Linked DNA regions of Drosophila melanogaster. The protein of the gene in region 1 interacts with the protein of each later gene in a pairwise test. Each region holds a gene or a part of one and is shown on either strand. Other genes may lie near its edges.

Region 1 (7,302 bases):
GGATTGGGTGGAAACTATACTCTGGCCGATGTGCCACGACTCGCTGAATATAGTGCCTCCCTGTACGCTTCGAATCCCGCAGAGCACGCTTATTATGTCCAGTACTATACGGAGTACTACACGGCAGATATAAACAAAAATAACAGGGATTCCCATTTGACGGAAGCCAATTCCGGAGCAGCGGTTGCCCTCTCGGCCATCCAGCGCAAGCAGAAGAAGATGAGCAGTATCGAGACCACGATCACAGCGGCGGCCACAGCTGCCGCACAGGCAGCGGCGCAAGTGAAGGCCACATTGGCTGCTCAGGTGGCCAGTGCGCCCAAGGGCAACGATGGAAAGATATACCGTATGTCGCCACTCACTTGAGTATGCTAGCATTTTATTATGTTTCATTATGTTGCAGCCACTCCCGATGTGACGCAGTACCAGTATGATGAGACATCCGGCTACTATTACGACAGTACCACGGGTCTCTACTACAATGCCCACTCGCAGTACTACTATAACAACGAGACGGGCGCGTATCTTTACTGGGATCAGCGCAGGAGCACCTATGTGCTGGCCACGCCCGCCTCCACTCAGGCAGCTCTGCAGGAAGTCCTGGCCGACGCCGAGCAAAAGGGGGAGGAGGAGTCCAAAAAGGCGAAGGAGAAGGAGGGTGGAAACAAGCACGACAAGGTTAAGGTGGCGAAGAAGATCGTCAAGGACATGGAGAAGTGGGCCAAGCAGCTAAACCAGAAAAAGGACTACACAGCTGTGGCCACGCCACAACCAATATTGGCGAACGAGGTAGCCACCACTTCGCGTGGCAATCAAGGGGGATATGCTGATGTGGGATTCTCCATTCTCGAGAAGAAGGAGAGGGGCAAGTTAAACGACTATGCGCCAAACCCGACTGTGGGTCCAATGAACAAGCTTGTCAATGCCTATGGCGGAACATCGGACTCTGAAGAGGACAATGCTGCGAGTTCGCAAAACACACAGAGTTCAGCGGTTGTAAGCGGCGGAGGAGGTGCTGAAGAGTCCGATTACGTGGACTTCCATAAACTGACATGCCTGCTCTGCAAGCGTGCCTTCCAATCGTTGGAAATACTCCAGAAGCACTTGAAGATGTCCACTCTGCACAAGGAGAACCTGGCCAAGCTCAATCAAAACACTAGCAGTAGCATCGAAGAGGCACTAGCGTAAGTGAAATCGCGATGTGTGGTGGAGTATATTATCATTGAATTCATATTCTTTCCCAGCTATCGTGATCGTGCCAAGGAGCGCAGGCTGAAGTACGGCGAGAGCGATCCTCCCCCACCAAATAGGAGCAGGGAGCGATTCGAGCAGGAGATCAAGACACTGCAGTCGCGGCAAAAGCAGTCTACTAGCGCTACTCCAGCCATGCCCATCAGTTCGAGCAACGTGGGCAGTCGACTGCTCCAAAAGATGGGTTGGTCGGAGGGACAGGGACTGGGCAGGAAGAACCAGGGACGCACCCAGATCATAGAGGTAACTGAGCTGACGGCAAGCTATAAAATGAATTAAGAAAATTAAGCATTTTGGGTTCCCTCAGGCGGACGGACGCTCCAATTACGTGGGCTTGGGCAACAAATCGGGACAGATGATACCGGGCAACGACTACAAATCCTATATAAAGAAGATGATGAAGCAGCGCTACGAGAATGCTTGAGAAATTGGTTTTTAGCCGTTTCACATGTTTCATTTCAACTAAAGTCGCCGTTTAATTCAGCTTTTCAACCGAAGCAAAAATTATTTCCATATTATATATGAAGCTTCTTGAGCATTGTTTTCCTAACAGATTGGCGTTTTTTTAAGTCCACGAGCAAGTGTGACCGTTTAGTTAATAGTTTCTGATTAAGCGAATTTAAATCCTTTTTCGAATGTACAAAATAAAATGTAACGGTGTAAAGTTTAAATTTGCTTGGTGTTGGGAAACAACTGTTAGCTGGCACTTGGTAGCCCTGGAGCTATCGGTCAGTTATCGATAACTGGCAGTCAGATACTTCGGGTGAACGGCAAAAAAGAAGACCGAGAATTTTTCTATTCGGGTTTTTTTTTTTGGCCGGATAACTGATTGTTTCTGCCTGAATGCAAAGAGACTTCCAGTTCGGGAACAAGTTTAACCAGCTTCCAATCCTGTTACAGTCGTGGTAACCAAGTAAGATGTGCGCACATAGACGGTTCATCTAATGGCAAAAGGCCAAATCACAAACACTGCATTTAATTACAATCGATTCGCATTAGATATGGATTCTCGATATGGTCACAGCTTCTCGGGCGGCAACGGAAACGGCAGCGAATCGGGCTACAGACGCTACAGTCGCTCCCGATCCCGATCCAGGTAGGTAGTCCTTTGTCCACCTGGAGCCTCTTAGTGGATTACTACCAATTGCGATTATTTCAGGGAACGAAGTCGGGACCGCAATGAGTACAGACGTCGCAACTCCCGTTCGCGCAGTCGGGAGCGGTCCTCACACTATAGAAACGACCGCAGTCCGGATCGCGATCTGTACCGCGACCTGATCAACGAGGATTACGAGGATCAGGGAAACTACAACTCGAGACAGAACCTTGACCAGCGCCACGGCGAGGACAAATACGATCGTCGGCATGCTGATAGCCAGGGTCGCAGGGATCACGATAGCAACTACGACAAGAGTGGCCAGGATATGGATAAGGACCGCGATCACCGCTGGAAAAACTACGATCGCGTTTCGAGAGAGCGCAACCATGATGACTTCGATCGGGGATCGGAGCGCAGCAGGTAAGAAATGATACATATTGCATATTACCCATATCGTGCTCAGTGTTATCACTGAGATTAAGATTAAGCTAAGTTCTATGTTTCCATTCACAAGGCTTCCATAAGAAGGAGGACTCCTCTTTCACTAGTTTAAAAGACCTTTCATTTGCTAATCACTTGTAATAAAAGTCAAAATAATTAGAAATCAACCCATTCAGTAATGTACACTTCCCTTTGTTCGCATAAATGCATACAAATCATCTTATGAAATATTCATGCTGGATGCCTTTAATTACAGTGGATAGTATGCAAACGATGGTTTCAAACGAACCGAACGAAAATTTATTCGACAAAGTGCTCATTGTATGACCTTAAAGAATCGCTTTCCTTTCAGCCGCAGCAATGACCAGCGGCAGTTCAATAATAATGGAAATAGTAACTCCAGCAGCAGTTACAGAGATCGCGAGAAGGAGCGCGATCGAGATAGACGGTGTTCCTCGGACGAGGACAGCGACATGGCCAGCGAATTCAGGCAGAGAGGTGCCTACAACAGTGGCAGCAGCGTTGAGCCCTTGAACAACATAATCCTCTTCGGTCTGAAGAAGCACGTCACGGAAGCAGACGTAATGTTTAAGCGATAAGCAGAACGAATGTAAAATTAACCAAGTAATCCTCCACAGATCATGGGCGAGCTGATCAAGGTCGACCTGGAGCCCACATCCATTCGCGTGATGAGGAAGCAACAAACAGGTGGGTTACATTTCCGTGTGTTACATTCGATTTAAAGTGAAATTGTAGAGAAAGCGTGAGTATTGCGTGCCCAGCAACATGTTCGATGTAGGACTTATAGCAATTTCAATTATACTTGGCTTCGACATCAGCAAAAACATATAGAAAACTACAAACCGAAACAAAAACACAATCCCCAAAAATGACACAATGCTAATGATACAACCAACATTTTTTGACCAAACATTTTCGTATCTACTTCTATCTAAAATTTAGGTGCCTCACGCTGTTTTGCATTTGTCGAGTTTAAAACCGTTGAGGAGGCGACTCGTTGGATGGAGTTAACCCAGGTATCCCTAAAAACCACAAGAATCTTGAATCTTCTCGTATCCGCCAAAATAGAAATGACGGCAAGATCCGATAGCTTGGCATCAACTGTTGAAAAATGTGTGCCTTGAGTTCAATTCTGCTGGTGGGCTGCCTGTCCCTTCCATTTTTCTGTCTTAGATCAGGGAACTGAACTCAAAGGCGGAATCGAATCTTACGTAAAGGAAGCAACCAGCATCTGCGTGATGTCGAAAAACACAGATGCAATCTTGGTGACTGTGTAGTCTGTGAACGATTTGCCTGATCAGCAGTTTCAGTTACTAATTCCAATTTTACCTCTTCTATTTTTCCGTTCAGGGAGTCCTCCAACTGGGCGATCATCGTGTCACCATGCAGTATAGTCACACTCGCATCTCAGACTGGACTTGCATTAAGGTATGCTCCGTTAAGATACAGATTGGCAACAATAATTAGCTTTTTTCGCCATCCTTCAGTGTGGTGCCAGCAACTTTAAGCGCCGCTTCCAATGCTACATGTGCAATGCGTCGCGGGCGGAGAGCGAGAATGCTCTTTACGGAGCCGGCGAGGGCGTCGACGAGATCAGCCAAATCCTCACAAAAAGTATATCCACCATGAGCAATATCTTTCAATGCCGTTTCCTAGCTAATCAGCTAAATACCCCACTAACCTGCCACGCTTTCCCCATGCAGAGATCATGCTTCGCGGCTTGGACGCGCTGACAAACGAGGAGGGCGTGCTAACTGCCCTTCAGCAGCGCCTGCCCGAACTGGCCAAAACAGTCAGCAAGGTGCTGGTCAGTCGCGACGCCCTAACCAATGCATCTCGGGGCATTTGCTACCTCAATTTTGACACACTCATTGATTCTATGAACGTGTTCAACGGGCTGACGGCGTTGGATCCGCCACTCACTCTGGACGACAAAACAGGTAAATTATTACTTCTTAATTATTTCATAATTAAAAAACAAAACTTTAATCCATGCCCTTCAGTTATCGTCACCTACTGCATTGACTCCGAAAACCGTCAAATGATGCCAGCCGAAGGCAACTTTTTTAGAGCAGGTGAAACAGCGATGTCTCCGTCGGCCATTACGGCGGCCTACACTTTGGCGGATGTGCCTCGTCTTGCGGAGTACAGTGCATCCGTGTATGCCTCGAATCCGTTGGAGCATGCTAACTACGTCCAGTACTATACGGATTATTACACGACTGAAATAAGCAAGAACTGCAGAGATCGTCAAGTGACGGAGGCCAACTCCGGCGCTGCCGTTGCTCTCTCGGCCATCCAGCGCAAGCAACGGAAGGTCAGCCAGATGGAGACCACGGTTTCGGTGACAGAGGCGAAGGTCGCCTTCCTTGCCAGGGGTGAAAGTGCTCCCAAGGGGAATGATGGCAAGAAATACGGTAAGTGAGCGCACACTATTCTATCTATGCGCTCCTGTAATGTCGAATATTTCATGCTCAATGGTTAGATACTCCCGATGTGTCCAAGTACCAGTACGACGAGACCTCCGGCTACTACTACGACCACGTTACAGGACTCTACTATGATGCCCACTCGCAGTACTACTACAACAACGAGACGGGCGCGTATTTGTACTGGGATCAGAAGCGGAGCACCTATGTGCTGGCCACACCCGCTTCCACTCAGGCAGCCCTCAAGGAAGTATTAGCCGATGCCGAGAAAAAGGAGGAGGAGGCCAAAAAGGCAAAGGAGAAGGAAAAAGAAAAGGAGGAAGCTGGGGGGAAGCCCGACAAGGTGAAGGTGGCCAAGAAGATCGTCAAGGACATGGAGAAGTGGGCCAAGCAGCTAAACCAAAAAAAGGACTACACAGCAGTGGCAACGCCGCAGCCTATCCTGTCGGATACTGAGGCGGCCACCACCTCCCGTGCTTCCCAAGGGGCATATGCTGATGTGGGATTCTCAATCCTTGAGAAGAAGGAGCTTGGCAAGCTCAACGACTATGTACCGGAGGCAGGACCTCCAGCGATAAGCAAATTGGTTGGTGCTTATGGAGGACCTTCTGACTCGGAAGATGATAATAGTGCCAATCAGAAAGCACTTGAAGCTAGCGTTGGGACTAAACGAGCCATTAGCGATGAATCTGACTACGTGGACTTCCAAAAACTTACTTGCCTGCTCTGCATGCGTGCCTTCCAATCGCTGGACATCTTGCAGAAGCATTTGAAAATGTCGAATCTACACAAGGAGAATCTGGACAAGCTTAAACGGAATCCCGCAGTTGAGGCTGGCACGGATGAGGGTCTATCGTAAGTGGGAATATGCTGCTAGAATGGAGATAAACTCACTAATTTACTTACCCGTACTTAGCTATCGTGATCGTGCCAAGGAACGCAGGCTGAAGTACGGTGAGAGCGATCCTCCTCCACCAAATAGGAGCCGGGAGCGTTTCGAGCAAGAGATAAAGACTTTGCAGTCGCGCCAGAAGGATTCTTTTGGCGCCACTGCAGCCATGCCCATCAGTTCGACCAACGTGGGCAGCCGCCTGATGCAGAAGATGGGCTGGTCGGAGGGCCAGGGACTGGGCAAAAAGAACCAGGGACGCACCGAGATCATAGAGGTAGGAGTCGACGAGGGCGACGAATGGCAAAATATGGATAATTCAATGTCAATGTGTATCCACAGGCTGATGGTCGTTCTAACAACGTGGGGCTGGGCAACAACACTGGCCATATGGCGCCTGGGAACGACTACAAATCCTACATCAAAAAGATGATGAAGCAGCGTTATGAGAACGCCTGAGACTCTTCTTAAAGTGTATGATTTTATTCCGCTTGAATATAGGGGCATTTAAGCATTGTTGTTTACCTCGATTACACTTCCTCCACCTTGTCGCGTTCATTTAGCATTAGTTGCGAAGTTCAAATTGTAAATAGTTCGTAAATACAGTCTCAAATTAGGTTTAAATTTAAATTGTAAATGCTTTAAGTATGGAATTGTGCAAGGGAATCTAAATCTCGTCCATGTAGCCATGCTCATAGGCGTGACGAACGGTCTTGAAGATCTCCTGGTTCGCCTCATCGCCAGCGATGTCCAAGGACAACTGGTGGAAGGCGGGGCCGTGCATATCCGTCTCGAAGAGGCGGGACAACTCGGCGCAATCCTTCTCGGTGCCGAGCAGCCAGGGAAGGAAGTGCATGCATACCATTGGTCCGTAGAAGGCATATCGTTTGAAGTGGGCATTGAAGCGTTCGAAGCTGTATTCCTGTAGCAACTGGTCCACCCGATCGTCGGTCAACTCGTTCCGGTTTCGGCGCAGAACCAGTTCCAACATTTCGATCATGCTTCGATGGTACTTGCGCAACAAGTCGGCGTAGATCTCCTTCCTTCCTTCGGATGGCGTGTTCATGTACATAAAGAAGCTCAGGTCAATGGCCGTAGTGCTGAAGCGCAGCTCCTGGAAATCGATGGCTTTGATAGCGTCCACCTTATCTTCAGCGCCGTAGTGGAACAGC
Region 2 (3,497 bases), on another chromosome or scaffold:
AAAACAATCCTGAGTAATGTTTACGAAAGTATTGTAATATAGTCTCGGAATATATCCAGAAGACATTTAGGGAATGCTTACAGAAGCTTTTCACGGAGTTCCTACAGCACGGGAAGTATGAAAGAGCCCGGCAAAAAGGAACACCAAATTTCCTCCTCATGAAACCACTTCCACTCGAAAAAGAGTATCGAAAGTGTTCCGGAATAATTCCACTACCGTCTCGGTGCTTCTCTACTTTTTTCGTTGGTACAATACAATAGAAAGAATGTAACCAAAGCAACAAGAATTACGGCCAATTTTTTACGTTAAATCAAAAACTTTTTAAAGTTGTTGTTGGTGTTAGAATAAAATAGATAAGTTATTCAAATTGGTTCGGATTTTCTTTAATTATATATATGTAGGACAGAAAGTGGAAAGTCTGGGAATTTTAGTAGCACTTTTTTTTAGTTAGTCTCATTTTTTGTTGATTAGCTTACAGCTCCAAAACACATTTTATTCGAGGACCGTGTATAAACTCTAGTTCCCGTGACTATATATGATTAAACATTATAAAATGTACCACAGTGAAACTGATTGTTGGATTACATATATGTATTACATTAGTATATATGAATATGCATGGATGAGAAAATCTTGTGTATGTGTTGTATCCAAGAGATACACATTCTGTAATGAACTTGGATTGCCTAACTGAACGAATAGCGAACCTATCCGAAGGGAATCATGCGTAACCTAAATACTTTGATTATAACTTTTACATATGCATAGATTTAAATCGACTCAAATATGAAATAGTACAAGTTAATTAGACGGGGCACATTAACAAAATCTCAGAAAATAATTTTTTTTGTTTCATTACATAGTTTCTTACTTTTGTCAGCAAAATAATTACTTGTGACGTTTGAAAAACTAGTTGTAAGTTTAAATACAGAAGTCAATACACTGGAAACGTTTATCCGACATTTTCAGATCCTTGTGTGGAAGTGGTTAATACTTGAAAAGTGATTAAAAAAAACAACATATAAGGCCCTGTGGAGACTATGCTCTAACATTTTAATCGAATTTTAAGTGATACCATGGTTTGTTTAAAAGGAAAGTTAAGGGGTGCTTACGCTGTTTTGATTTACAAATGACTGGAATTTTTGGGTAGGATATTTTCATATATAGATATTTTGATTCCTTGATATCCCAAGACTCAACATTTTTTTTTTATTTTTGATCAGAGGCAGAATATTTATGTTGTTAACTATTGCAAATCGCAACCAAAATATAGTGATTGTCATTTATCTTGGCCTGATATCGACATATTGGCAATAGCAGACCTTTGATTAATAAAAATGTCTTAATTTTTGGTTAATAGAGAGGAAGAACCTAAGTTTTTTGTTTTCAGGCAGCTTTATAGTGTTTGAAAAATTTGTAACATCGTTTTTAAATTTGATTTTTAAATTTGATTTGAAAAAGTTGTTTTGGCAATTAGAATTCGCGAATAATACCATAGTCCTACAGAGCACATTCGTAAAAAACAGTTGTGATTTTTAAAAATTGTGTAACTCCGAGTCTAAGTTATATGCTCACTAACCCCTTGGGGGCAGCCTTTCTAGGTCAATTTAAATATTTCACTTAAAAAATGTACACGAAAATGGTTTTATCGACATTCGACTTAATGGCGCAGTCAAAACATTGTATTATCGATGTAGTTTTGTGTTTCTTTTTATTGTTTTCATCAGACCATGCTTAGGGTATAGTCAACATACTGTTATTAGTATTTTATAGAAAACAGTATTTTTAACCATCGTTTAACTTTTCTGAAAAGTACAGCATTATTAATCGAATGACTAGTTTACACGTCAATTTACTGAAGTTACTGAAGACAAGCTTTTTCCTATACGAAATAAAATAGTTTCTTATTAAACATGGGACTAACAATATCTAGTCTTTTGACACGTTTGTTTGGAAAAAAACAAATGCGTATTCTTATGGGTATGTTCAAAATACGATACACTAAATATAAGCCTTTAGTTCGCGCATAATTTTTAAGTACTTGCAATCAACGTGCACATAATTTTAAATATTTTTGTACGCAGTTGGCTTGGATGCTGCTGGAAAAACGACTATTCTGTACAAATTAAAGCTGGGTGAAATTGTAACCACCATACCAACCATAGGCTTCAATGTCGAGACTGTGGAATATAAGAATATATGTTTTACCGTTTGGGATGTTGGTGGCCAAGACAAAATTCGCCCGTTGTGGCGACACTATTTCCAAAATACACAGGGTCTTATATTTGTAGTGGATTCCAACGACCGCGATCGTATAACTGAAGCTGAAAGAGAACTACAGAACATGGTACTCATTTTATTTAATTAAAAGTATATACATACGTGTCAACCAATTCCATGTTTATTTTTCCCACAGCTCCAGGAGGATGAACTTAGGGACGCGGTACTTTTGGTTTTTGCCAACAAACAGGACCTACCGAATGCAATGACAGCTGCCGAGCTTACGGACAAGTTGCGCCTTAACCAATTAAGGAATCGCCACGTATGTCTTAGGGGTAATTGTCCCAAAAATGTTTACTTATATCTACCCATTTTTAGTGGTTTATTCAGTCTACATGTGCTACCCAAGGGCACGGTCTTTATGAAGGACTTGATTGGCTATCAGCTGAATTGGCTAAAAAATAAAAATATTCCTTATATTGTAAGATAGGAATTGCTGTTCTCGTATGCTGAAAACTAGATTTTAAATAAACTTGTAAATGTATATAAACTCGTTTGGAACTTTGTTGTAAATTTAAAATGTCCACGTTTTATGTGTTGGTGAGAAAACTGCACTTGCCTTAGTTGTATTTTTAAAAATTAGTGATCGGATAACTAATAAAAATATATTTTTAACTTACTTATTCGGGAAAATATATGTTCGTTTTTTTATTAGTATGCCTCAATACCATTACCAGAATTCAATCAAATAAACATATTTTTGATTCGTACTCATTTATGTTAATTCAGTTTTTAATAGCCACCAGATTTGTTGAAAACTACGTAACTGTTAGCAGAAGCGTTTCCGACCTTAGAAAGAATATATATTCCTGATCAGGACCAATATCCGAGTTGATCTGGGCATGTCCGTATGAACGCCTCGGTCTCAGGAACTATTAAAGGTAGGGAATTGAGATTAGACATGCAGATTCTATGTCCGTATGAAGAGAACTATTAAAGGTAGAGAATTGAGATTAGACATGCAGCTTCCAGAGGTATTTACGGAGAGAAAACTTTTGATATTTTAAAATATTTTTATTAGTCTTGTAACCCAAAATCCCCAAAACCCCCCACCCAAAATCGCTCAAACATGCCGAACATTCTTAAAAAATTGGTTATTCTTATTGAAATCTTTCACACTTCCTGCTGAGTAAATGGTATCTGATTCTCGTGGAATTCGAGAAAGAATTCGACAAAATATAAAACTATGAAAAAATATCGAAAGTTTTTTAAAAATG
Region 3 (3,189 bases), on another chromosome or scaffold:
CGCTGATTACTTATTTCAAATTGATTCAAAATCTGCTCAGAATTTTTATGAATTTATGACTGTTTTTCTGTGTGCTAAGCTTTTGTGCCCCAGGTTCCGTCGGAAGTTTGGTCATACCTTTAACACCGTAACAATGAAAACCCAAGTGACGACGTTGATGAAAAACGGCTCAGTAGGGCCCCATATAGGCATAATAGTTCCGAAACAAAGTTGGCGATGTTGACGCTGCTCCTCTGTCAACTTCGGCGCACTATTGTGGCGCTAATCATTCATATAAACATGGCTGCGGAGAGCGCTACAGATACAGATACATTTACCGATACAAAGAATGCCGTGGGGCTAGCGGTGTTATATCGATTTAAATGATAATAATTGGCCTCTAGAGCGCCATGGACAGTATCGATCTGTTTTAGAATTTTGACTATAAATAAACCGACGTGGATGCAAACGCTCAATCATTTGTGGTTTAAGAGCTCAAGGTGTTAGACATATCATAAAGGAGATGGTGAGTGTGGTCAGTTGTAGATATGAGAAGCAATCTGAACTTCACGATTTCTTTCCTATTTCAGAAGCTATTCATTTTGGCTACCTGTCTGCTGGCTTTTGCAGCCGGTGATGTTTCGCATTTGCCGCTGGAACTCCTGGAGGAGCATCATGAGCATGGCTATGGCTATGACTACCCCAAGCCGGAGATACCATTTGTGATTACCTCGACGACGGAGCCACCACCGCCACCACCGACTTATCTGCCACCCAAACCAGTACCCACTTACCTACCTCCTCCTCCGCCCACAACCACAACTACCACCACAACCACTCCGGCTCCTACTCCCGCTCCTACCTACCTTCCTCCCCCTCCACCTACTACCACTACCACGACAACCACTCCCGCTCCCACTCCTGCTCCCACTTACCTTCCTCCCCCACCTCCACCACCGCGTACCACTACCACCACCACCACTACAACCACAACGACACCTGCACCCACGCCAGTGCCCACGTACCTTCCACCCCCACCACCACAACCGGAACCGGGTTACCACTACGATGTGCCCGCCCAAGAGTTCACCTTCTGAGCAAAATCGCGATCGAACTGAACATGGAAGATTTCCCCGGATTAGTTTTGTTTTAAATCGTTCCACTAGGCTTAGGTTTATATAAGGTTAAAGCCATCTCAATAAACGCTGTTTTGTTAACCCCATTAGCATCGGTATCTCCCAAATATTTATTGGGATGGGACAAAAGTGGTACAGATGGCCGAGTCAATCACCGTCAATTGTCTGGGATTTCGTCGCATCCGCTGCATATTCATGAGCTGCTTTGTTGTGCAGAGCTAATTTGGTCGAAATCGCATTAATTGTTTTGGGGTAGAGGGAGATAACACACGCCGATAATTGGCCGACCTCAAGTTCATGAAAACCAAGAAAAGTGTGAAGAAAACCAAATAGCCAGCCGGTCGAGGAAGGCGCGATCTTTGTATAAAAGCGGTGACCATCGACGTTATTGACATTACTACCTGCTGTCATCAAACGGCAGCAACATCATCTCGATCGGTGGATTATCTCTTAAAGGAAATGGTAAACAGTAGCGGCATATTCTCTAATAAAGATGACCTAACAGGAGGTTGGTTATTTTACAGAAACCCATGCTGATCCTTTTGGCTCTGGCAGGCTTTGCCATCTGTATTCGGGCAGACGTGTCCCACCTGTACGGAGGAGGTTACCACGATCACGGCCATGATCACCATCACCACCATGATCACGATCACGATCATGATCACCACCACTATGATGTCCATTCCCACCACCATTCTCCCTCGTCACACGATCATCATGATCTGCACATTGATCTGCACTATCAGCCGGATCACCACCATCATCATCATCAAGAGGCCAAGTTCGATATCCCTAGCGGATATAGCTATGGACCTCCAGAGAAACCTCGCCAGAAGTACCTGCCGCCCAAGGTTTCCCTGCCACCGCCACCACCTCCACCGCCCAAGGCAACTTATCTGCCTCCCTCAAAGCCTGAAGTGAAGTACCTGCCCCCCGAACCGGTGGCCAAGTATCTGCCACCCAAGGTCGCTCCCAGCCTGCCTCCTCCACCACCACCTCCAGTTGTGGCGCCCAAGCCCACATATCTGCCTCCCAGTCCGCCAGAGTCCAAGTACCTTCCTCCTCCGACGCCCGAGGTGAAGTATCTGCCACCTGCTCCAGTGGCAAGGTATCTGCCACCCAAGGTTGCACCCAGTCTGCCACCACCACCTCCACCCCCACCAGTGGCTCCCAAGAAGCTGTATCTTCCTCCTGCCGAGCCGGAGACTAAGTACCTGCCACCTTCCGAGCCCGTCGAGAAGTATCTGCCTCCTAAGCCCGAACAAAAATATCTGCCACCCCAGCCTGAGGTAGATTTCCACATACCGATTCCATCCTATGCACTGCCCTTGGGCCCTGCACCAAGTCCAATCCACGACGCCGAGCCTGGTTACCACTACAAGCCTCCACTTCGCCGTTTCAGGCATTAGGATAATCAACCACCGAAAAAAAACCAAACCACAAGCACTGCATCTAGTTTTAAGCTGTACACATTAAAAGCATTTTTAACAAAAAATAAAATGGAGTATTACACCACTCGCACTCTTTCCCCATCCTCAAGGTCAAAGATATCAAACCCAAATTGCTGTCACCCAGCCCCCAAGGGATCCATGTGGATTTCAATCTGACCTCCAAATCTAATTGCGGCCAATCAACCGAAATAGCCAAACGGCTTCGGTTTTAGCTTTAGTTCAGCTCGATCATCACCTGCAGTGTCGATAATTACTGTCTTTTTGGATGAAAAATGATGTGAGTTTTGGTTTGAATATATTTATAGGGATTGATCGGTGTCGGTTACAGAAAGGTTCAAACCGAACCAAAATCGCTAATCGCCAATTGCAGCCATCGGCAATGGGACGACAGTTGACCTCTTTCAATGTTGCCCAGAGATGGGGCAAGTCTTTTAAAGGTGCCATGAAAAGATTAGACAGAAATAAATAATTAAGCCCCTAACGAATTGAGTATGCTCTTTTGAAAAGGGTTAAAGTTTAAATGTTTAAACATTAGGTTACTTTAATAGCACACTTGATTTGTCTTTCATTTTGTCTTTAAGCATTTTAATTAAAACCTGATAGTGATGTATCAATAATGTTAT
Region 4 (3,478 bases), on another chromosome or scaffold:
AGTGGAGTTTCTTGATTTCCATATTCCGAAGAGCACTTGAAAAATCCAACAAAAACAAACAATCGAATCACAATGACCGAGGAAAGCAAGAAGATCGTACAGCTGGACGACGTGCAGCGCCAGTTGCTGGATCATCTGGCCAAGAATGACACCAGTGGATTCAAGCAGCTGCTGAGCGGAGTGAGGAATGTTAATTTCGTGGACGACACCGGGATGTCGTGTTTGGCCCACGCCAGCTTCAAGGGAAACCGCGAGGCGGTGCAGCTGCTCCTGGACATGGTGGGTACATCTGCCAGGCAACCACCGCTTGGGCTCTAAACATGAAATAACCGCCTTTTCTTCCACAGGGTGCCGACATAAACCTCAATCAGCATGGAGCTGATTATACGCCACTGCATTTCGCCGCTCTATCGGGCAATACACATGTGTGCCGGCTTCTTTTGGATGCTGGCATCAAGCCGGGTAGCATCAATAGTGTCAACAGGACCGCCGCCCAAATGGCCGCCTTTGTGGGCAACCACGCCTGCGTGGAGACCATCAACAACTATGTGACCCAGTCGAGTTTGGAGTACTACACCCAAGTGCATGGCCAGCAGACGGAGCCGCATATACCACCCAGCTTACTCAAATCGTTCCACGCCTTTGTCACCGAAATCAACCTGCATCCCGTGAGGATTGCCCTGAATGTGCAGTCCTTGGGATTGCTTAGGATCCTGTCCAGTCTGCGCAAGACGCTGGCTTTGATGTGCGAAAAGGAGATGCAGAAGTCGCATGACCTCAACGAGCTGCTGGCCTTCAAGTTCCATTATCAGGGCTGGATTTTGGCCGAACTAATACGCTGCGAGGAGCAATTCAAGGCGCAGCACAAGGAGAAAAGTGGCGAGGAGGCGGGCGATGCGAACAAGAACGATTTCATCGAGATGTTTGTGAAGCGGGTGCTCAAGGAGAACAAGCTGGGCCAGCTGGACTATGTGGAATACACGTTGCGCGAATGTGCCAGGGAGTTTCCCGTGAGAGAGTGCACCATCTTCCGGCAAATCGCAACGCAATTTGGCGCCAAGGATGCCCCACCAGCACTGACTGTCCTGCGAAATGCCATCAATGGGATGAGGTGGATTACGGTGGGTATCATGATCTCATAATCAAATGATTCTTTTCTAATCTGGAAAACTAATTTTCAGGACGAGGGCAACTACTGCAGCACCTGCGGCGCCGAGAAACCGGACAAGAAGTGCTCCAAGTGCAAGGCGGTGCAGTATTGCGATCGCGAATGCCAGCGGCTGCATTGGTTCATGCACAAGAAGAACTGTGCCCGCCTCCTGGCCCAATCCCAAGCCCAAGCCCAAGCCCAGCCGCAATCGCAAGCGAAGGGAGCCATTGACACGGCCGAGCTGCGCGAGGAACTGTCCAAACTGACTGCGTAATCCTGTGCTCCTTTGTAACGCCAATAAATGTAACATAAAACCAGAAACCTAGCATTTTCGCGTACTAAAAGATTGTTAGTACCAAACTGTCAGATGTCTACACAAATTAAACTAGATAATAGTAACGAAAGGCAAAATTGCACGCTACAAATTCAATTAAAGTCAAAACATACAACAAACTGCCCAAAAATCGTATATCTATCGTAAAATAATAAAGAGTAATAATGGAACAAAAAAAAAATAGAAAAATAACTCCTTTTGAAGGTTATTAAAATTATGGTTATTTTACGTTTTAAATCGAACATTTCAAAAATGAAGTTTTTAAAATAGCAGTATTTCGAACACAAAACTAACAGCATTCATTTTCGAATGTTAAGTTAACAGCACTAGCGGCATTCGCCTGAGTGTCTGTTATCGATTTCGAAAATTCGAAAACGAACAGCTGATGCCAGTTGAATTTTTCTTGTTTAATCTATTTGTTGCTCGTTGCTCGTGAAAACCCGTTTAAAACAGTCCAAAATGGTGCAGGTTTGGTATATGGATACGGAGGAAACCGATCAGCGCCTGGAGCACCACCGCAATCCGCCTGCCTACTTGGAACTGGATGATCTGTACCAGAAGACCGGCGTGGAATACTTTAAGGCAAGTGAAAAGCGAAATTGCGACTTTAAAAACCTTAAGTGACCTTGGGGGCGAGCTTATCTTGATCATTCACATTTGCAGATCAATGCGGACGAGTACCAGAGCGATAATACCCTCACGGAACTGAGGGCAAAACGTGGCTACACCTACGATGATGAGGCAAGATCGATGTTTTCTTGAAAAACATCTACCGAACTTTGGTAAACTTCGAATTATTACAGATCACATGCTCGGAAAAGTGCCTTCCAGACTATGCCAACAAGTTGAAAGCCTTTTTCACCGAACACCTGCACACGGATGAGGAAATTCGCCTGATATTGGAGGGATCCGGTTACTTTGATGTTCGCGAGTAAGTTTTGTTTATTTACACCGCATTTTATAGTATCCCAGCCACATTTTCCCAATTAAATAGTTCAAGCATTCATATTCTTACTGATATTGTTTTTGCTCACACTAATAACATTTTTGGAATTGTTTTAAAACGGAAAACTATTTATTCTTTATAGCAATGAGGACAACTGGTTGCGCATTAAGGTTGTCAAGGGAGATCTGATCATTATACCAGCTGGCATATATCACCGCTTTACTTTGGATACCAATGTAAGTTATTTTGACAATCTTATATACAAACTTAAACTATTTGTATTGTTTTTTCTTAGAACTTTATCAGAACTCGTCGCTATTTTGTGGGCGAACCTGTCTGGGCTCCACACAATCGTCCTGCTGATGAAATGGACTGTCGCAAATCGTACATCAAGCATCAGTCGGAAAACTTTGTGCAATTCAATAAGGTTTAAAAACCTTAAATCTTATCTTTTACCATCAAGTTTGATATTTTGAAATATAAAATCGCTGTGTATAATCAATAGTTTCAATAGTTTTTTGTTTAACTTACAATTTTCGCTGATTAACGTAGTTTTGATATAGAATTCGAAGTCTATTTTCTATATCAATAAACCCCGCCAAAAACTTGATTTCGAATTTTATCTCTTAGTTGGTTGCTGCATATGCTAAACGTACTTTCGAACTCGAATCTCAGAGAGTACAATTCGCGGTATGACCGTACCAGCGCCGAAGAGAAAAAACAGCGCAAGTATATAATCCCAAGCGCCAGCGAAAGTATCGAGCCAACATCGATGCGCGTGCCATCGCTAGGAAGGAAAACAAAACAAACACTTTTTTACTTTTTCATCTCTCGGATCGTTCGGACGTGCTACGCGGTCTCGTCTGTGTGTGTGAGGTAGTGTGCGTGAGCGGAGCGGCGAAAAAGCACAATTGAAATTAAATCGAGTCGTTATCTGTGGATTCGGCGGATACAATACAATATCGTATCGTTATCTATTTACAAACAAATCGACGTGGATTAATAAAATGCCGCACACGAATGCTTAAAGCGGCCTATCTGTGTGTGT

The links.
Region 2: the proteins of CG4896 (region 1) and Arf4 interact in a two-hybrid assay, tested with the Drosophila melanogaster proteins (one large-scale study listed by BioGRID).
Region 3: the proteins of CG4896 (region 1) and CG15022 interact in a two-hybrid assay, tested with the Drosophila melanogaster proteins (one large-scale study listed by BioGRID).
Region 4: the proteins of CG4896 (region 1) and Adi1 interact in a two-hybrid assay, tested with the Drosophila melanogaster proteins (one large-scale study listed by BioGRID).

The regions. Positions count from the first base shown.
Region 1 is NT_033779.5:1,175,698-1,182,999, forward strand, and holds CG4896 (uncharacterized protein), read left to right. Parts: upstream 1-1,992; 5' UTR 1,993-2,164; exon of another isoform or gene 2,165-2,250; 5' UTR 2,251-2,252; coding exon 2,253-2,347; intron 2,348-2,410; coding exon 2,411-2,770; intron 2,771-3,143; coding exon 3,144-3,372; intron 3,373-3,429; coding exon 3,430-3,499; coding exon of another isoform or gene 3,500-3,534; exon of another isoform or gene 3,535-3,754; coding exon 3,755-3,828; exon of another isoform or gene 3,829-4,162; coding exon 4,163-4,240; intron 4,241-4,299; coding exon 4,300-4,426; exon of another isoform or gene 4,427-4,515; coding exon 4,516-4,752; intron 4,753-4,815; coding exon 4,816-5,229; intron 5,230-5,297; coding exon 5,298-6,096; intron 6,097-6,157; coding exon 6,158-6,407; intron 6,408-6,472; coding exon 6,473-6,589; 3' UTR 6,590-6,757; downstream 6,758-7,302. Other genes in the region: CG4887 (uncharacterized protein), read left to right, coding at 1-346, 404-1,184, 1,245-1,494, 1,559-1,675; CG5126 (uncharacterized protein), read right to left, coding at 6,798-7,302.
Region 2 is NC_004353.4:1,122,352-1,125,848, forward strand, and holds Arf4 (ADP ribosylation factor 4), read left to right. Parts: upstream 1-1,815; 5' UTR 1,816-1,913; coding exon 1,914-1,980; intron 1,981-2,084; coding exon 2,085-2,347; intron 2,348-2,416; coding exon 2,417-2,542; intron 2,543-2,598; coding exon 2,599-2,685; 3' UTR 2,686-2,974; downstream 2,975-3,497. UniProt on the Drosophila melanogaster protein: GTP-binding protein involved in protein trafficking; may modulate vesicle budding and uncoating within the Golgi apparatus.
Region 3 is NT_037436.4:4,458,633-4,461,821, reverse strand, and holds CG15022 (uncharacterized protein), read left to right. Parts: upstream 1-1,504; 5' UTR 1,505-1,574; coding exon 1,575-1,577; intron 1,578-1,639; coding exon 1,640-2,524; 3' UTR 2,525-2,629; downstream 2,630-3,189. Other genes in the region: CG15023 (uncharacterized protein), read left to right, coding at 503-505, 570-1,076.
Region 4 is NT_037436.4:10,661,503-10,664,980, forward strand, and holds Adi1 (acireductone dioxygenase 1), read left to right. Parts: upstream 1-1,873; 5' UTR 1,874-1,943; coding exon 1,944-2,066; intron 2,067-2,147; coding exon 2,148-2,225; intron 2,226-2,287; coding exon 2,288-2,415; intron 2,416-2,572; coding exon 2,573-2,666; intron 2,667-2,725; coding exon 2,726-2,863; 3' UTR 2,864-2,933; downstream 2,934-3,478. Other genes in the region: CG8003 (uncharacterized protein), read left to right, coding at 73-279, 348-1,121, 1,182-1,424. UniProt on the Drosophila melanogaster protein: Catalyzes 2 different reactions between oxygen and the acireductone 1,2-dihydroxy-3-keto-5-methylthiopentene (DHK-MTPene) depending upon the metal bound in the active site.